Linked DNA regions of Tamandua tetradactyla. The protein of the gene in region 1 purifies or fractionates together with the protein of each later gene. This does not show direct contact. Links are inferred from orthologs where the notes say so. Each region holds a gene or a part of one and is shown in the gene's direction. Other genes may lie near its edges. The genes, in order: BAG5 and DNAJB1.

Evidence for each region.
Region 2: the proteins of BAG5 (region 1) and DNAJB1 purify together in Homo sapiens (affinity purification with mass spectrometry; 3 studies listed by BioGRID and IntAct, with this or other methods). This does not show direct contact. The link is inferred for Tamandua tetradactyla from reciprocal best matches to the Homo sapiens genes BAG5 and DNAJB1.

The regions. Positions count from the first base shown.
Region 1 is NC_135340.1:89,303,164-89,313,104, forward strand, and holds the start of BAG5 (BAG family molecular chaperone regulator 5), read left to right. Parts: upstream 1-5,983; 5' UTR 5,984-6,104; intron 6,105-6,238; exon of another isoform or gene 6,239-6,558; intron 6,559-8,304; 5' UTR 8,305-8,332; coding exon 8,333-9,676; 3' UTR 9,677-9,941. Other genes in the region: COA8 (cytochrome c oxidase assembly factor 8), read right to left, coding at 5,619-5,741. UniProt on the Homo sapiens protein: Co-chaperone for HSP/HSP70 proteins. It functions as a nucleotide-exchange factor promoting the release of ADP from HSP70, thereby activating HSP70-mediated protein refolding.
Region 2 is NC_135337.1:88,456,471-88,465,889, forward strand, and holds DNAJB1 (dnaJ homolog subfamily B member 1), read left to right. Parts: upstream 1-4,786; 5' UTR 4,787-4,880; coding exon 4,881-5,091; intron 5,092-5,985; coding exon 5,986-6,566; intron 6,567-6,858; coding exon 6,859-7,089; 3' UTR 7,090-8,273; downstream 8,274-9,419. UniProt on the Homo sapiens protein: Interacts with HSP70 and can stimulate its ATPase activity. Stimulates the association between HSC70 and HIP. Negatively regulates heat shock-induced HSF1 transcriptional activity during the attenuation and recovery phase period of the heat shock response.

The DNA.
Region 1 (9,941 bases):
GAGATTTCAAATCGAATCGAGAGGTTATCCCGGATGTTATTCTGTAGAGCTGTGTGGTAGTAGCCTTGTTTCTTGAAGATGATTGTATGAAGATATAACGTTTACATGTGACTGTGTGGTTGTGAAAACCTTGTGTCTGATCCTCCCTTTGTCAGGGGTATGGTCAGATGAATACAAAATATGGATAAAAGAAATAAACAAATAGGGGGAACAAAGGTTAAAATACATTGGGGAGATAGAAATACTAGAGGTTAATGAGAGGGCGAGGTAAGGGGTATGGATGTATGAGTTTTTTTCTTTTTTCTTTTTCTGAAGTGATACAAATGTTCTAAAAAACATGGTGATGAATACACAACTATGTGATGATATAGTGAGCCACTGATTGTACACCATGTATAGAATGTTTTATGTTAGGAATGTTTATATTTATATGTTATTTTACCAATAAAAATATTTTTTAAAAAAAGGACAGTAGTTCAGGACCACGTTGGGTTTATACTAGGAGTGCAAAGTTAGTTTAATAGAAAATGAATGGATGAAAAAACACACCACCAATGAAGTAGTCTTTCAAAAGAAAAACAAAAGTGACATTAAACCTGAATGTGGGGAAGGCTCCTGTAAGCGCTAGCATGCAGCTGTCAATTCCCAGGAAATTCTGAAGAGCAGAGAAGCACGTAAAATTACACCATTGGGGATATAGTCCAGACTGGGAAATTCTCGCGGACATATAATCTTTTCTTTAAACAAACTGCTTAAAAAGGGCAGGAGAAATAAAGTTAGAACTACAAATTAAGGAGATCAAAAATATCAATGACAATGTGTAGGTTGTATTTGGATCCTGACACAAACTGTGAAAGAAAATACGACATTTCTAAGACAGTAGAAGAGATCTGAGCACTGATTATACTATCTGATGAAATTAAGGAATTATAATGTTTCCAAGTGTGAAAAGGTATAGTGTTTACGTTTTTTTGTCTGAATCTTTTAAAGATATACAGTCAAATACAGATGAAATGTGATTTTTTTATATTTGCCAAAAAATAAATAATAAATAATAAGGAACAGGGAGGGAATGGATGGAGGTAAAAATGAAATAAACAGCATGGATAATTGCTGAAGCAGGGAAATGGATACTTAGTGATTCATGACATTCTTCTGTCACCCTTCGTATATGTTTGAAATTTTCCACAATCAAAAAATAACAAAAAAAGAAAAAGAAAATCAATACAATTCTCCACATTACCAAAATAAAGAGAAAAATCAGATAATCATTTTAGTAGATGAAGAAAAAGCATTTGATAAAATTAGATTACTGGCCTGGGAGTCAAAAACCAAGGTTTCAGTCCTGACTATGCTGTACAACACCAGGCAAACCACTGCACTTCTCTGGGCCCCAACTGCCTCATCTATAAAATAAACTACAAGCTTTTTAAAGGTTCCTCCTGCCCCAGTTTTTGTTTTAGCAACTATTTATTGAAAGCCATTTAAATACTAAAAATATCCATGTTAGACTTGAAAATTCCATGCCCAAAACCTCTCACCAGGTTCTCATTTACCTCAGTTTTAACTTCTTCCTTACGATGTTTATTCTGAATCCATACTTTGGGGTTTGAAGATCATTCTCCTTAATGAAAAAGTAGCAAAATAAAAAAGTTGATATACTTTTTTTTTTTGCATGGGCAGGCACGAGGAATCAAACCCAGGTGTCCGGTATGGCAGGAGGGAACTCGCCCTGTTGAGCCACCGTGGCCTCCCAGATGTTAATACACTTTTAATGCTAAATGTTAATATACAGTCAAAAAATGTTAACTATGCCTAAAAATGTTAATAAAATTCAGGACTACAAGCAAACATTAATGATTCTCATACTTGGCAGCTTATGAGACACACTCTTAAAAATCCTGACATCCAGGCCATACCCTAGGCTCAGTCAAGTCAGAATCACCGGAATGGGCCTCAATATTTATTTTAAAGCCTTCCAGGTTATTTTGGAACTCTGTACTTTATGCATGGTTTTCCTGTAAACCTACAATTTCTTTAAAATAAAGGAAAATGCATTCCAGGTGATTCTAATGCAAGACTAGTTTAGGAACCAATGATAAAAACCACAGCAGCATACATGGTACAAGCAGGCAGGAAGTGACTACTGACACTTAAGAGGTGAGTTTTAATATGGGGTTGGAAGGAAGAACAGTGCCTAACTCTAAATTCTATATTTTTCTCTTAAAACCTGGTGTCCAGAGGTCCCAGATGGGAACACAGGACTCCTTAACTAAAAAAGTGAGGGCAAAGCCAAGAACTAATAAAAAATATGGCTTGCTCCCCCTTCGGGGAATGGTGAGAGTTGGGAGAAATTCAACTTCCCTAAGAGATATTCTCACAAACAGTGTGGACAACCAAAGCTATAGGCTGAGCCCCCAGTCCTTGGGTTTGTTCACATGAAACTTAACCCCACAAAGGATAGGTCAATTCTACTTAAAATTTAGGCCTAAGAGTTACCCCCAAGAGAGCCTCTTTTGTTGCTCAGATGTGGCCCCTCTCTCCAGCCAACATGACAAGCAGTCTCATCACGCTCCCCCTCTCTGCGTGGGACATTACTCCCAGGGGTGTCGACCTTCCTGGCAACGTGGGACAGAGATCCTGGAATGAGCTGAGACTCAGCATCAAAGGACTGAGAAAAACCCTAGAATGAGCTGAGAATTAACATCAAGGGATTGAGAGAAACTTCTCAACCAAAGGGGGAAGAGTGAAATGAGACTAAGTGTCAATGGCTGAGAGATTCCAAACAGAGTCGAGAGGTTATCCTGGAGGTTATTCTTATGCATTAAGTAGATATCACCTTGTTGTTCAAGATGTAGTGGAGCGGCTGGAGGGAACTGCCTGAAAATGTAGAGCTGTGTTCCAGTAGCCATGTTTCTTGATGATGATTGAACAATGATATAGCTTTCACAATGAGACTGTGAATGTGAAAACCTTATGTCTGATGCTCCTTTTAGCTACTATATCAACAGAAGAGTAGAACATATGGAATAAAAATAAAGAATGGGGGAACAAATGTTAAAATAAATTCAGTTTGAAAGAGTGGTAAATGAAAGCGAGGGGTAAAGGGAATGGTATGTATAGTCTTTTTTTTCTCTATTATCATTTTATTTCTTTTTCTGTTGTCTTTTTATTTTTTTTCTAAATCGATGCAAATGTACTAAGAAATGATGAATATGCAACTATGTGATGATATTAAGAATTACTGATTGTATATGTAGAATGGAATGGTATCTAAATGTTTTTGTTTGTTAATTTTTTTTAATTAATAAAAAAAGACATTATTGGGATATAATAAAAATCGGAATATAGACTATAAGCTTTATGTCAATGTTAACTTTCTTGAACTTGACAGCTGTACTCAAGTGGTCAAATAAGTGAATATCCTTGATTTTAGGAAAAGTAAAAAGGCAATTTTCAGTGTTCAAGTTTAAATTATATGACCTACACTCAGGTGTTCCGGAAATGGATTGATAAATAGACAGACAGATAGATGATGATGATGATAGATAGACAGATAGATAGATAGATAGATAGATAGATAGATAGATAGATAGATAGATAGATAAAGGATGATACAACAAATGTAGCAAAATGTTAAAATAGTGGGATGTGGGTATCTAGGAGGAGGGAGGGATATTTTGGGGTATTTTTTATTATTTTTGTAACTGACTTGTAAGTTGGAAAGTATTTCAAAATAGAAAGTCAAAAACAAACAAACAAAAAAATATGGCTGGGGCAGGCCACGGTGGCTCAGCAGGCAAGAACACTTGCCTGGAATGCCAGAGGACCCAGGTTTGATTCCCGGTGCCTGCCCATGTATTAAAAAAAAAAAAAAAAAAAATATGGCTTGCTAGACAGGAAGGATTAAAAGGTAACAACTAGATAAAGAAAACAAGATTCACAACCTGTTACTTTTAACAAGATACATTTAAATTTCTAGACTGAAAGACAGCAATCTCTCTCAGCTGCAGGTATGTCATTACCTGGAGAAACTGCTGTGCTCTCAGGAGCCATACAAAGACGATAACACATAGGAAATACAAATCGCCCTAAGCAAAAACTGTTCTTTTATGTTGCATACAATATCTAGCTAATAGGGAACTCAAGTTCTAAGAAAAACAACACAAGTCACCATGCTAGATTTGGGCAAGACCTGACTCACTGGCCAGCCACTCCACTTTTTATCTGGTCAGCACCATCGTCACAATCGTCACCTTCAGCAGGTTTAGGGAAGCCAGCAGGTGCCCACACAGGGCTTGCTGTAAGTCACTGAGACTACAAAAGGCAGAGAGAGGCCTCACCCTGAGTATCAGACCCAGGGTAAGACTTATCTCACTTGAAGGAAAGGCCTTTATGACAACAGAGAAATCCTGGCTTGTGCGTCCTTCTTCTGTTTTCCAGGACTCCTAGTTCATCAAGCAGCCTAGGTAAGTCCTCGCCATGGGCAAAGTTCTCGGTTGATTTCTAGTTTGCCTTCCGAGAGGATTTTCAAGATACCTGTTTTATCTTTCTGTTCAAGGAAATAAGGTGCTGGGTAAATTTCTGTGTCATAGGATAGAGCCAGGGCTGTGGTCTGGTTAACTACCTGCCAGCGTAAGGCCTTGCCTAAACTGTAAGCCAGGACAGAAGTTCAAAACCGGCATTTATAAAAGTGTGCTAAAAGCCACAGAGCAATAGAAATGAACATTTAAAAGGCACGCACGTTTTGGAATTCTTAACTTTTTTTTCATCCTTTAATTATTGTTCCTATCAAGCTTTCCAGCTCCCCACATTAACCCCTTGCTAAATAATGTGTTAGTATTTGTTTGATTTGTTTAAATATTTTATCTGCAGCCCATTCCACACCATTAGTCAACATTTTCATCTGACAGCTGCAATCAAGGCCTCCGCCTCCTTTAAACCAAATATACTTCACAACAAAAGTGCAATTTATGAAAGCTGCTTGCCTCTCTTGCTATAGACATACTTCGTGGATCTTTGGGCAGTCAAGTGTATATATGCCCATAGAGCTTCCAAATAAGAATAACGATTCAAAGTGAAGCCCTACAAAAGTTGGATGATAAAGCTCGCCATCGCTGGGAAAAAAGCACTAATTATCTTAACGGAGTCAAGGCACGAGAACGAAAAGTTACCCGCTGACCACACCAAGAGCTCTTCAAATATACAATATAAATACCCTCGAGAATAAAACAGGTGCGTCCAAACTTGCTGACTACCTTAGACTAACAAAAGCGCAGTCAGCTTTCCCCCATGGAGGTGGCCGGCATACTCAGATTCATCTAGACCAAGGAGGGGACGCAGGAACTTTCGCAGCTACTGACCTAATCCGGATGGGGGTCCCGGCGCCCCTCGCCCAGGACCTCCCCATTCTCCATGCCCCCGACCCACTCGGTCGCGCGTGCTGCTCTGCACCAGCCCCGGGCCGGCTGGGGGACCCTGCTCCCGAGGGCCTCAGTCCTCTCCGCAGGGGTCCACGCGGGTGTGAGGGGTCGAGGAGCGGGCCTCAGGGCACAGACCGGCTCCTCACCTCTTGCGGTCACCCCTCCCGACCTAACCTCTCCGTGCTCCCCGCTTACTCGGCTCGGCGCCGCATCCCTGCGCTCGGCGCCGCGCTCAAGGGCCGGCTGGCGGCCGGGACCCGCCAAAGTGCGGAACAGAAGAGGAAGGGAAGTCTTCCTCGGGGGCCTTAGGGCCCCCATTGCCCCGCGTACACGGCTCCCGCGGCGCACGACAGCGGCGCGACGGCGAGGAAGCTGCCTTACGGCAGGATCGCAAAGCCGGAGGCGGGGGGCGGAGCGCGGCCGACTGAGCGCTTCCCCGCGGTGTGAGGGGTCGAGTGGACAGCGGGGCTGCGGGGTCGCGCTGCTGGATCCCGGCGGCTCTTCGGTGGCCGGGGTGGCTCCGGGCTGCTGTGCCTGACGGCTGGCGGCGGGGCGCGGCGCGGTGAGGCGCGGGGGCCAGAGGGCGTTTTTCCCGGGCTTGGCGGCGCTCGGCCCGGGGCGGAGCTGCGACAGGGGTGGCGGTGCAGAGGTGCAGAGGTCGCGATGGCGCGGACCGGACGGGTGAGCGTGGCGCAGCCCTGCGGGGACGCGGCGCCGTCTCCCTCGGCCGGGGCGGCGGGCGCGGTCTGCTCTCTGCGCGGGGCTCGCCGCGGGCCGGCCCCAGCTCCCGGAGCCGTACTCCGCGCGGCCTTGCGCACTGGCCGGGCCTCCCGGATGGGCTTCCGGGCTCCGAGCGCCGCTGCCCCCTCTCCGCGCGGGCCCATTGTGAGGTCAGAGCCGGCCGGCCCGTCCTGGGGCCCGGGCCGAGACGCCCGGAGAGGCCGCTGCGGCCAGTAGCTGCCGCCTCCGCCGCCGGCCCCTTCACCGGCTTCCCCTTTCAGACCTAGCGGGGCGGGGTGAGAGGGATGCAGCTTGGGGCCCAGCTCCGGTCCCTCACCCCGTAGAGGGCTGATCTTACACCTCGCCACCTCACCTACGGGAAGCCAAGGCCGCAACCAGCTTAGATCTTTCCTGGGTAAAGTTCGGAGGGGGAAGGGTGAGGAGGGAGGCAGGAACGCAGGCTGCCCTTCGTGGGCGTCGGGAAGGCCTGCGTGGTTCCGACGCCCACACGGAATTGGTTTCAATCGATTATTCTTCAGTGAGCCGTTCGGTAGAAACCCGAGGATACACACAAAAGGGGTTAAGCCATTTTGGACCCTAATGGGAGGCGAGCGAATTCATCGGAGCCGAGTCACGTTTCTGCGGGGTGTTTTTTGTTGTGTTGTTTTCTGTTTGTTTAGGAGGGGCGCGTAGTAGAGCCTGGGGAAGTCCTGATCCGCCAGAGCCCAAGGTTGAGCCTTCACTCTTCCTTTCCCCACGGGATTTTCTTTCTGCTGGGAAGATAGGGTGCGGTTGGATTTGAAAAACCGGGTAGCTTTGGAGAAGTGCATAAAGGGACGGAAAGGAATGTGGAAACGGGCACATTTAGGGTGTTTGAGAATTTCTGGTACTTGTTTCCAGTGGCTCCGTTCCTCTTGGTTAAAGTTACTTTTTCTGGAAATTGATTAGTGTTTGGAAGGCTAGTAAAGCTAGTTTTACTCCCCCATTCTTTATGTTCCGCAGAGATGCCCTGCTGGTGTCCAAAAAATAGCTTCCTAACTTAAGACCTAAAATATTTGTGTTATTTCCAAGCTAATAGTTAGCCCTCACGTCATTCTTTTTTTATTGACAAACCAAAACAACATACAAATACGAACATTCTTAACATACAAACATTCCATATATAGTGTACAATCAATGGCTCACGATATCGTCACACAGTAGTGAATTCATCACCATGATCGTTTTTTAGAACATTTACATCATTCCAGAAAAAGAAATAAAAAGAAAAAATTCATACATACTATACCTCTTACCCCTCCCTCTCATTGACCACTAGTATTTCCATCTACCCAATATATTTTAACCTTTGTTTCCCCTGTTTTTTTCTGTACCCCTTACTGCTACTCCCTTTCATTGATCGCTAGTATTTCAATCTACTCAACTTATTTTAACATTTGTTCCCCATTATTTATTTATTTTTAATTCATATTTTTAACTCATCTGTCCATACCGTAGATAAAAAGAGCATCAGACACAAGGTTTTCACAATCACACAGTCACATTGTGAAAGCTGTATCATTATACGATCATCCTTAAGAAACGTGGCTACTGGAACACAGCTCTACAGTTTCAGGCACTTCCCTCTGGCCTCTCTAATACACATTAAACTAAAAAGGGCCTCTTGACTCTGAAATCTGTCAGCCACTGACACTTTATTTTGTCTTACTTCTCTCTTCCCCCTTTCAGTCCAGAAGGATTTCTCAGTCCCTTGGTGCTGAGTCCCAGCCCATTCTAGGATTTCTGTGCCACACTGCTGGGAAGGTCCACACCCCTGGGAGTCATGTCCCATGTAGAGAGGGGGGAGATGCCATACTTCTCTAGGAGAGCATATGCTGTTCTCTTCCAGCTGAAGAAACTTGAAGCTGACAGAATTCCAGCTCATGCTCTAACTACAGTGATGCTGTTTATGATCTCTGCCATGTGTAGGTTATTTTCAGGAGAAAGAGTTGATGTGTCACCCTTCTTTCTGTACTTGAGTATGTCTGTCTTTGGGATTACAATAATGATAAGCCCTTTTATTCTAAGTATATTTTTAAGTGAAAATTTTAGACTTAATATATGATTGCCATTCTGCAGAGACTTTGTGCTGTAATAAGTTATCATTCTTGTCATCTTTTAGTGCTTGTGAAACTGAAAGCAACAAAAGTATGGATATGGGAAATCAACACCCTTCTATTAGTAGGCTTCAGGAAATCCAAAAGGAAGTGAAAAGTATAGAACAGCAAGTAATTGGCTTCAGTGGTGTGTCAGATGACAAGAATTACAAGAAACTAGAGCGAATTCTAACAAAACAGCTTTTTGAAATAGACTCTGTAGATACCGAAGGAAAAGGAGATATTCAGCAAGCTAGAAAGAGGGCGGCACAGGAGACTGAGCGTCTTCTTAAAGAATTGGAGCAGAATGCAAACCACCCACATCGGGTGGAAATACAGAATATTTTTAAGGAAGCCCAGTCCTTGGTGAAAGAAAAGATTGTGCCATTCTATAGCGGAGGCAACTGTGTAACTGATGAATTCGAAGAAGGCATCCAGGATATCATTTTGAGACTGACACACGTTAAAACTGGAGGAAAGATCTCATTGCGGAAAGCGAGGTATCACACTTTAACCAAAATCTGTGCTGTGCAAGAGATCATTGAAGACTGCATGAAGAAGCAGCCTTCCTTGCCACTTTCAGAAGATGTACATCCGTCAGTTGCCAAAATTAACTCTGTGATGTGTGACGTGAACAAGGCTAGAGGCACTCTGATTGCACTTCTGATGGGCGTGAACAGCAACGAGACCTGCAGGCACTTATCCTGTGTGCTCTCGGGGTTGATTGCCGATCTGGATGCTTTAGATGTGTGCGGGCGTACAGAAATCAGGAATTATCGAAGGGAAGTAGTAGAAGATATCAACAAATTATTGAAATATTTGGATTTAGAGGAGGAAGCAGACACTACATATGCTTTTGACCTGGGTCAGAATCATTCCATTTTAAAAATTGAAAAGGTCCTCAAGAGAATGAGAGAAATAAAAAATGAACTTCTTCAAGCACAGAATCCTTCTGAATTGTATCTGAGCTGCAAAATGGAACTGCAGGGTTTGATTGGACAGTTGGACGAGGTAAGTCTTGAAAAAAACCCTTGCATCCGAGAAGCCAGGAGAAGAGCTGTGATTGAAGTGCAAACTCTGATAACTTATATCGACTTGAAGGAAGCCCTTGAGAAGAGAAAGTTATTTGTTTCTGAGGAGCACCCATCACACAAAGCAGTCTGGGACGTCCTTGGAAACTTGTCAGAGATCCAAGAGGAAGTTCTTTCGTTTGGTGGAAATCGGACCGATAAGAATTATATTCGATTGGAAGAACTGCTCACGAAGCAGCTGCTGGCCCTGGATGCTGTTGATCCACAAGGAGAGGAGAAGTGCAAGGCTGCCAGGAAGCAGGCTGTGAAGCTCGCGCAGAACATTCTCAGCTATCTCGACCTGAAATCCGATGAATGGGAGTACTAAAATGCCAGACATCTCACTTCTGATATCGCTTGTTTTGCACTTTATATACACTGCTATGTATTTATAGAGAGCTTTCAGTTCATTGAGCCTAAATATGATTTATACGTGCATTTCTCAACCTCAGTATTTATGATTCAAGCAAATTATATTCAGTATCTTTGCTGCTGTTGATGTTGCAAAACAAATATTATAGCACATTAACTTTGCCATTTTGGTCCTTATCTGTATGATATGGTATGGCTTGATTTTGGTTTTGGGCTGTTTT
Region 2 (9,419 bases), on another chromosome or scaffold:
AAATTGGCTTATTCTTATTCTAGACATTTCCTGTAAGCAAAATCATGTAATATTATTCCTTCTGTGTCTGGCTTATTTCACTCAACATGGCATCTTCAAGATTTATCCGTGTTGTCACACGTCAGAAATTCACTCCTTTTTATGGCCAAATAATATCCCATGGTACATAAACATCACATTTTGTCGATCCATTCATCTGCAATGGACATTTGAGTTCCTTGCACCTTTGGGCTATTGTGAATATGTTTCTTTGGTTTTTTTCATTGAGGTATAATTTACATACAGCAAAATTCACCCAGATCAGTGTATAGTTCTGAACATACACAATCACATAACTTCTACCACAAGCAAGCTATAGAAACATATTTCCACCACCCCAAAAGATTCCCTCATGCCCCTTTATAACCAGCCACAGCCCTGGTAACCACTGGCCTGCTTTCAGTAGCTATAGTTTTGCCTTTTCCAAAAGTTCCTATGAATGGAATCATACATCAGGCAGCATGTTTGTTTGTTTTTTAAACTATTTTTTATTGATATCTTTACACATCACACAGTCCATCCAAAGTATATAATCAGTGGCTCACAATATCATCACATAATTGTGTATCCATCACCATGATCAATTTTAGAACATTTGCATCACTCCAGAAAAAGAAATAAAAAGGAATGAGAAAAACCCATACATCCCATACCCCTTCTCATTGACCACTAGTATTGCAATCTACCCTTTTTTTTTTTTACCCTTTGTCTCCCTTATTATTTATTTTTTTGTCTTGTTTTTTTTCACTCCTCTGTCCATACCCTGGATAAAGGGAGCATCAACCACAAGGTTTTCGCAATCACACGGTCACAGTGTAAAAGCTATATAGTTATATAATCATCTTCAAGAATCAAGGCTACTGGAATATGAAATACAGTTCAACGGTTTCAGGTAATTCCCTCCAGCCACTCTAATACACCATACACTAAAAAAGGATATCTATATAATGCATAAGAATAACCTCAAGGATAGCTTCTCAACTCTGTTTAAAATCTCTCAGCCACTGACACTTTATTTTTTCTCATTTCTCTCTTCCCCTTTTGATCAAGAAAACTTTCTCAATCCTGTGATGCCAGTCCCAGCTCATCCCAGGAGTTCTTTCACACACTGCCAGGGAGATTTACACCCCTGGGAGTCATGTCCCACATAAGGCAGAGGGCAGTGAGTTCACCTACTGAGTTGGCTTAGAGAGAGAGGCCCCATCTGAGTAACGAAAGAGGTTCTCTGGGGATGACTCTTAGGCATTATTATAAGTAGGCTTTAGCTTCTCCTTTGAGGCAATAAGTTTCATAGGGGCAAACCCCAAGATCAAGGGCTCGGCCTATTAAATTGGTTGTCCCCACTGCTTGCGAGAATATCAGGAATTCCCCAGGAGGGGAAGTTTAAGATTTCCTCCTTTCTCCCCAGTTCCTCCAGGGGGCTTTGCAAATACTTTTTTATTCTCGTAGATGGATTTTTGAGTCTGGCTTCTTTCACTAAACACAATGCATTTGAGGTTTGTCTGCATTGTTTCATGTAGCAGTCACCAGTTCTTTTTTATAGCAGAGTAGTATTCCTTCATACATACAGATCACATTCGTTTATCCACTAACTCATTGGAGGACATTCCGGTTATTTCCTTTTGGTGATTATAGACAAAACCACAGTGAGCACCCACGGCGGATATGAACAGACTTCATTTCACTCAGGTGTTTCACGGGAGTGGGATTTCCAGATCATACGGCCGGCTTGCTCTTGAAAGTCTTTGGATGTACAGGTGAACAGTTGATGCACTTGTAAGGCTATTTTTTTTTAATTAAAGCTCTATTATCACCTGCATTACATACTACTTAAGTATGCCAAGCCTGCTACGCTTCAGCACTTTACTGAATGGGTAACCTTAGACAAGTCATGTAACCATTCAGGGCCTCAGTTTTCCACCTGTAAAATGGAGGTAACACTAGTTCCACTTCAGAGGCTGTCCGGCAGCTTAAATGAATTCATGCATGAACACGCCTGGCACAAAGCACAGCCAGGTCAGCAGCAGCTGTCATTAAAATATTAATTACCCGGCCTCTCTCACATGGTCCACCTAGCAACCTCAGCAGGGACCGTCCTCCCTTATTCCCATTTTACAGAGGAGTGACCTGAAGCTCCAAAAGATCAAGCAAGTTGTGTAAGATCAATGAGTCAGTAAAGAAGCATAAACAATGGGTCCAGGATTTGCACAGTGGCAGGCTGACCTCAGCCCTGCCCTCTTAGCTTCTCAGAGAGCCCAAGATTGGCTGAGGTTTCCACGGAGGCCACTTTCCCTGTACTATTCTGAAATGACCACTCATTTGCCTAGGTCAAAGGAGAGCTTTGTTTTTTTTAAAAAAAAAAAAAACTTCTAAAACGTGTCCCTGGCTTGTTTCAGGAGGAAGGGAGTGACCCGTGGCCCAGCGTTTCCTTGCCCTCGGGTCTGGAAAGAACCATTTGTAAAACCAGAGCCAAGTTAAGTCCTGGCTAAGACCTATGGAGGCCAAAACATCAGCAAAAAGATGTCACTGCCACATTTGTAACTCCCAATTACGTCACACTATAAAATCCTAGAGTGTAAGGAAGTCCATAAAGCTCTGTTTTGTTCCCCCACGATGGTGACTCGCCTCCTATTCAGCTATTATTTGTTTACATAACTTTTTTTAAACATTTTTTTATTATGAAATATAACATATACCAAAAAGCAATAAATTTCATAGTACAATGGAACAAATAGAACAGATTTCAATTATTGCTTTGGGTTACAGTTTCACAATTTTAGGTTTTTCCTTCTAGCTGTTCCAAGACACTGGAGATTAAAAGAAATACCAATATAACCATTCAGCAATCATACTCATTTGTTAAATCCTGTCTTCTCTGTTATAACTCCTCCTTCTCCTTTGATGCTTCTGCCAATCTTTAGGGGTATTTGGGCTATGCCCATTCTAGCTTTTTCATGTTGGAAAGGGCTATCAGCAGTATAGGATAAGGGAATGGAACTAGTTGATGTTCTTGGAGAGGCTGGCCCCTCTGGGTTTCAGGACTTATCTGGCCTAGGAGCCCATCTGGAGGTTATAGGTTTCAGGAAAGTTACTCGAGTGCATGGAACCTCTGTAGAAGCTCAGATAAAGTTCTTTAAGGTTGGCAGGAATGGTTTTGGTTGGGGTTTGGCAAACCTAGGTAAATAGCAATATTTCACTGAAGCTTGCATAAGAATAGCCCCCAGAATAGCCTCTCCAATCAATATTCACACAACTTTTTAAGTATCAAATTCTCTCTCCCTTATAACTGGTTCAGGACCCTTGCCCTGTCCTAGTCCAAAGTCTTTGCTGACAGGGTTTTCTTGGGGTCAGTGAGTGGGCAGGGAGGTCCAGGCACCAGGAGAAGGCTGCTGGGTTTTCTTTCTTGGAAATCTCAGCCTGCACCAGAGCAGGCAAGCAGTCACCAGAGGTTTTGCTGTGATGCTGCCCAGGAACGGGGTGGCTCAGCAGCCCACCACTGAACAAACTGGTAATTCACCCTTTTCACAGCTGTCCTCAGCACTTGACAAATGTCAACTCTTGTAAACTTCAGAACAAAAGATACAACAGTTATCCCATTGTACAGATGGCACAACTGAGGCTGAGAACAGTCAAGGACCCAGCCGAAACTCACGCAGCCAGGAAGTGCTGGAACTGGGAATCAGACTCCACCTTCTGGCTCCAGAGGCTCTAGAGCGCTGGCCTCCTGGGCTGTCCTCCAGAACCGCCGTTCACCCTGGCCCTTCTTCCCTACGCCTCTTTCCGCACCGCTTTTCCTCATCAATTCTGTCCTTGGTCAGGGGCACGCCAAACTCAGACTGTTCCACACATGAGCAAATGGAAGCACTGAGAGCTGTGTCCATCCCCCAAATCAAAAAGGTAGTGGGGAGAGAAAAAGAAGCAGCTGCGTCCGAGCAACCAGGAATATTTATGAAAGGTGCACAGCTGGCCAGATTTTGTCCCAGGCACCGGGTCCCAGTGGAGACCGGACCAGGTCCCTGCCCTGGCAGAGGCCACAGGCCCCGGGGTTTGTGTGGGGGGGGTCAGGATGAAAGCCAAGGGGCCAGATTATTTCAGATTTCAGTGGCAGGTGCTTTTGAGATATCGGTCAAAGCAAAATGTAGGAGGGAAGGGACTGGAACACTTCTCCGGAAAGGTGACCTTTGCATCACCTGTATGGTGAGGTCAGGGGTATTTTTTATGCCCATATTACAGGGGGCGGGGTGGGGCTGGGGGGTGGGGCTGGGGAAAGGAGAGGCACTGCCACTCCCCCTGAGCCACCCGGCGGGGCCCTGGGATTTGGCGGGCCGGCGGATTAAACAGCTCCTGGGGACCCGGCGGAACATATTCGGAGGGCGGGCCCACAGCTAGTCCCGCCCCTTCCCGGCGAGGGCGGCCGGTCGTAGGGTGGGAGCGCGTCATCACTCGCGGAGTCGCGCAGAGGGCGGGGCTCGCGGCCAGCCTAGCCGGCGGGCGGGGCGGAAGCAAACCCCGATTGGCTCTCCCGGGGGAGAGCTGGGCGGGGCCGCCTCCAGCCGGGGGGGAGGACGCGCCGCAGCGAGGCGTTGCCGAGGCTGCTGGCGGGAGGGGCGGGGCCGCGCGCCGTCGGCCGTTGGCGGCACAGCCCCGCCCCGGACGTCGCGCGTCGCGGGGCGGGCGGCGGCGATTGGCCGGCGCAGTGCGGGGGGCGGGGCGGAAGGTTCTGGAGGGGGCTGGCGGGCTCTGGAAGCTTCCGCCGGGCGGGTATATACAGTCTGGGAGCGGGCGGCGGCGGCGGAGCCGGGGCGCGGCAAAAGCGGGGCGGCGGGCCGCAGACGGGGGCTATGGGCAAGGACTACTACCAGACGCTGGGCCTGGCCCGCGGCGCGTCGGACGAGGAGATCAAGCGGGCCTATCGCCGCCAGGCGCTGCGCTACCACCCGGATAAGAACAAGGAGCCCGGCGCCGAGGAGAAGTTCAAGGAGATCGCCGAGGCCTACGACGTGCTCAGCGACCCGCGCAAGCGCGACATCTTCGACCGCTACGGGGAGGAAGGTGTGTGCGTGCGGCCGAGGCGCGCCTCCGCCGTTTGACAGGCGGGGAAACCGAGGCTTGGGGGGCGATCCCAGCCTGCCCGGGGAGCTGCCGCCGCCGCCTGCCCGCGGGGTCCCCGCCCTGGGAGGAGGAGCCCTGGCTGCGCTGCTCGCCCAGAAGCTTCTAGCAAGCCCGGGCTACTCCTCCCTGGGCGCCGCCGCCCACGGTCCCGGGTGCACCTGGCTTCACCTGGGCGCACCTGGGCCCGCGGCCCGCATAGGGCACGACCTGCGGGGAGGGGGCGCCTATCGCCCCCCCCCCGCCCCCCGCGGGCGACTGCGGTGTTCACCGGGCCCGGCACGTAGGAGAGGCGGGCTAGGATGGCCCTCCTCAGGGGGAAGAGAAAGAGATTTTCCTGTTGTCCACTTGCCCCTTGGTGACTCACCCTGGCTTTTGGGCTCAAGAAATGAGCCGACTTTGTGTAAGATGGTGGCAGCTAATGTTGGTACAGGATGGTGACAACTTGAAAACGTCAGTTTATTTCTTATTTTTTTCTACTCTTCCCATGCACACCACTAGCCGGAAGATGTCAAGAGCAAACAGGGAGGGCTTATACTGACTCCGGCCTTTGCATCTGGTTTCTGGTAAATCCTTGAAATAACGTTGGTGGGGAGGATGAACCAGCCAAGAGATGGCCTAGCCTGAGTGGCACCGAGGGATGCCCAACCCGGGGCTTAGGCTGGTATCCACTGTCAGTCTCATCTGGTGCTGCAGAGGCTTCGGCTTCTTCCTTGCTTTTCTTAACAGATCCCACAGAATTTGTCTTCGGAGGGTTCCCAAGTTCTTTTCTCTTATGTAAACCTTTCCAGAGAAGTTCTGGCTAGCTGCCTGACAACTTCCGGTTTTGCTTTTCAGGCCTGAAAGGCGGTGGTCCCAGTGGTGGGAGCAGCGGTGGTGCTAATGGTACCTCTTTCAGCTACACGTTCCACGGAGACCCCCATGCCATGTTTGCGGAGATCTTTGGTGGTCGAAATCCCTTTGACAACTTTTTCAGCCAGCGGAACGGAGAGGAAGGCATGGACATCGACGACCCATTCTCCGGCTTCCCCATGGGCATGGGTAGCTTCACCAGCGTGAACTTTGGCCGCTCCCGCCCCTCCCAGGAGCCCTCCAGGAAGAAACAGGATCCTCCTGTCACCCACGACCTCCGGGTCTCGCTTGAAGAGATCTATAGCGGCTGTACCAAGAAAATGAAAATCTCCCACAAGCGACTGAACCCTGACGGAAAGAGCATTCGCAACGAAGACAAGATCTTAACCATTGAAGTGAAGAGAGGGTGGAAAGAAGGGACCAAAATCACCTTCCCCAAGGAAGGAGACCAGACCTCCAACAACATTCCAGCCGACATTGTCTTTGTTTTAAAGGACAAGCCACACAATATCTTTAAGAGAGATGGCTCTGATGTCGTTTACCCAGCCAGGATCAGCCTTCGGGAGGTAAGGTGCTAGGTGGCACAGTGTCTGCGGTGGACAGGGCTATTCTTTGAAGCAGGCAGTATTTCCTCAACAAATAGTTGTAAGGGCTTAGTGTGTGCCGGCCTCAGGGGATATGGCAGTGAACCAGACTGACTAGGGCTCTTTCAGAGTTTTGTCCCAGTGATCTGAGTAGATTTGGAGGCAGGGTCCCAGCTGCAGGGGTCTGATGGATCTCACCTGTCTCCAAACTTCTGGGCAGGAGTAGTGCTTCCTAAGCCATCCTCCATCTAATGTTGTCCATTTGCTTCCCAAGGCTCTGTGTGGCTGCACGGTGAACGTCCCCACCTTGGACGGCAGGACCAAACCCGTCGTTTTCAAAGATGTCATCAGGCCCGGCATGAGGCGAAAAGTTCCTGGAGAAGGCCTCCCCCTGCCCAAAACACCTGAGAAACGCGGGGACCTCATTATTGAATTTGAAGTCATCTTCCCTGAAAGGATTCCCCAGACGTCAAGAACCGTACTGGAGCAGGTTCTTCCTATATAGTCACCTGCACTCCCCAAGGACTGACCAGGGACCTTTCTGGAGCGTGAGGCTTTCTGGACCGTTCTACCAGTTGTGGGCCCATGAGAGGGCGGGGTGGCCCAGGGAGGGCTTTCATACTGCTGAATGTTTTCCAGAGAATATATTACAATCTTTCAAAGTTGTGTGCTAGACTTAAGTGGTTTTTCAAAAGATAGGGTGGTAGGTGGTGGGGAGTGCAGGAAAAGGCACCTGGTTGGCCCCCCTGGGTCCTGCAGCCCCTGCCGGTGTGAGCCCCCCACCCCTCCTCAGCCTACAGGTGGGGCGAGAGGCAAACCCACAGCTGGACTTGATCCTCTGTAGTCCTTTTGCTTGCAGCTGTTGGGGTTGGGTCCAGCCTGCCACCTTAGTTACCAGACCGTATACTCTTCCCATTCCGTTATGTGATCAGTCCGTGTTTTATTCTGTATTTATCTTCAATGTCTTGCTGTTCCCCTGGAGAATGCTGTCTTCTCTTCTGTCATCTCAAATTGAGAACCTAGATTATTTCTACAGTACTGCCTGGCCGGCACTCACAAGCAATATCTCCTTCCAGCGGGACCAAGGGAGCTGGCCTCAAGTGAGTGAGTCGTGCAGACAGCCTCTGCTGCTGGGGTCTGGGGTTCTGGCCGGAGGGTGGAAGAGGCCCTGGGACCCCAGCTCTGGTGAGGCTGAGCGTGTTCATTCACAGCTCACACCCTTTCTTTTCCTGTAAGGCAATCTCCTGGCATACCTGGAGCATTAACAGAAGCCCTGATCAGTTTTTGTTTCCTTCTGAACTAATGGACTCGGGATTCTTTCAAAGGGATCTGATCCTTTTGAATTTTGCACAGCCCTAGTTATAATCCCTTTTGATAAAAGGGTGTTTGCTTCTGATTACAGGAGCACAGTGGATCGCCTGTAAATATGTTTTTATAATTCCATATAAAGTTAATGTGCACACAAACGAAGCCAGTCCTCTACGGGTCCTGCTCTGTATAGGGCCAGGTTGGAATTTGGATGAAATCTTGGGGGAAGGGGGTGTTGGAAGAAGTGTCTGTTCGCCAGAGGCCAGTCTGGTGCTCAGCCCTTCAGATTCGTTGTAAAGTTGCCACTGCCGACAAGACCAAAGCATGTGACCTGTCAATGTGCGGCTAGACAGACGGCATTAAAGACTGATGCTAACCTCAGGGGAGCAGTCTTGTGACTCTGTTTGAGGGCTCTGCTGGCTCAGGGATGGGTGGGAGGGCAGGGGATGGGGTAATAGGGATCTCTGCATGGGCTCAAGTCTCCTGGGCCTGGGGTGAGTGAGTAAACAACCTGCCCAGACTCTAGATGCAGACATCCAAAGAAACCAGAATGCAGTGGATTCAGAGTTGCTTTGGTTCTTTTTATTTGGGGGGGGGGGGGGGGGGCGGGGGTTAAATGTTGGGGCTAAAGTCAAGGGGGAAGAGGGGTTGGCTCCTAGTTCTGTCTTCCAGACATCCCGACTTCCCTGCTCCGGGGCTGGTAATGAGGCCAAGAGGTGAGCCGTTTGCCCACTAAGTACTCATCTGCTCTGTTCTTGCCAGAGCAGGCAGGGTGTCGGGCATGCCTGGCCAAACCAGAACTAGAATTCCAGCAGCTAGGGAGTCGTCCCAGGGCTGGGCCCCACCCCAGAGCAGACCCACTTCCTGCCATGGCTTTATTTTGAGGACGCTGAAGCTGCTTTTTCTTTGTAGCTTGCTTTAAGGAACTTGTTTTATTATAAAGTAAACAGCTACCCTTACTTTAAACATTATTGCTACTTGGGTACAAAAATGTTTCAAAGTCAAAACCTAATTGAGCGGTAGGAGTTATTTTGTCTTCTCACTGAAACAGTTGAATTTCTGAAAACAGTCCAGGGACACACTGCCCAATAAATAGTCTTTGCAATGTAGAAGTGGTCTTTATCAGTTTTATTTAAACTTAAATTCTTAAAAATTCAGTAAAACTTAAAAGTGAAGTTCCTCGGGCATACTAACCACTCATGGCTGTTGGCCGCTATTGGGCAGCCAAACTCTAGCGGGATCTTGCTCAGGTATGATTCTTGAGTCTCTTAAAAAGTAGCCAAGCCAGAAGGCATCATCCTGGGCTGAAGGTGCCCCCTGGAATAAGAGAGCCAAGTGGGACCTTGCTGAAAGATTATTGAGCAACCTTGGGCCCCAGGATCACGGTCCGGCAGAGATGGCCCTGGCCTCAGTGGGCTCCCAGGTCTCCAGGGCTGCCATCCCACCTGGTTCCCTTCATCACAGAGTAGGTCTTCATGAATTTTACATTGGAGTACCTCTGCAACAAAGAGCATGGAGCCTGAAAAT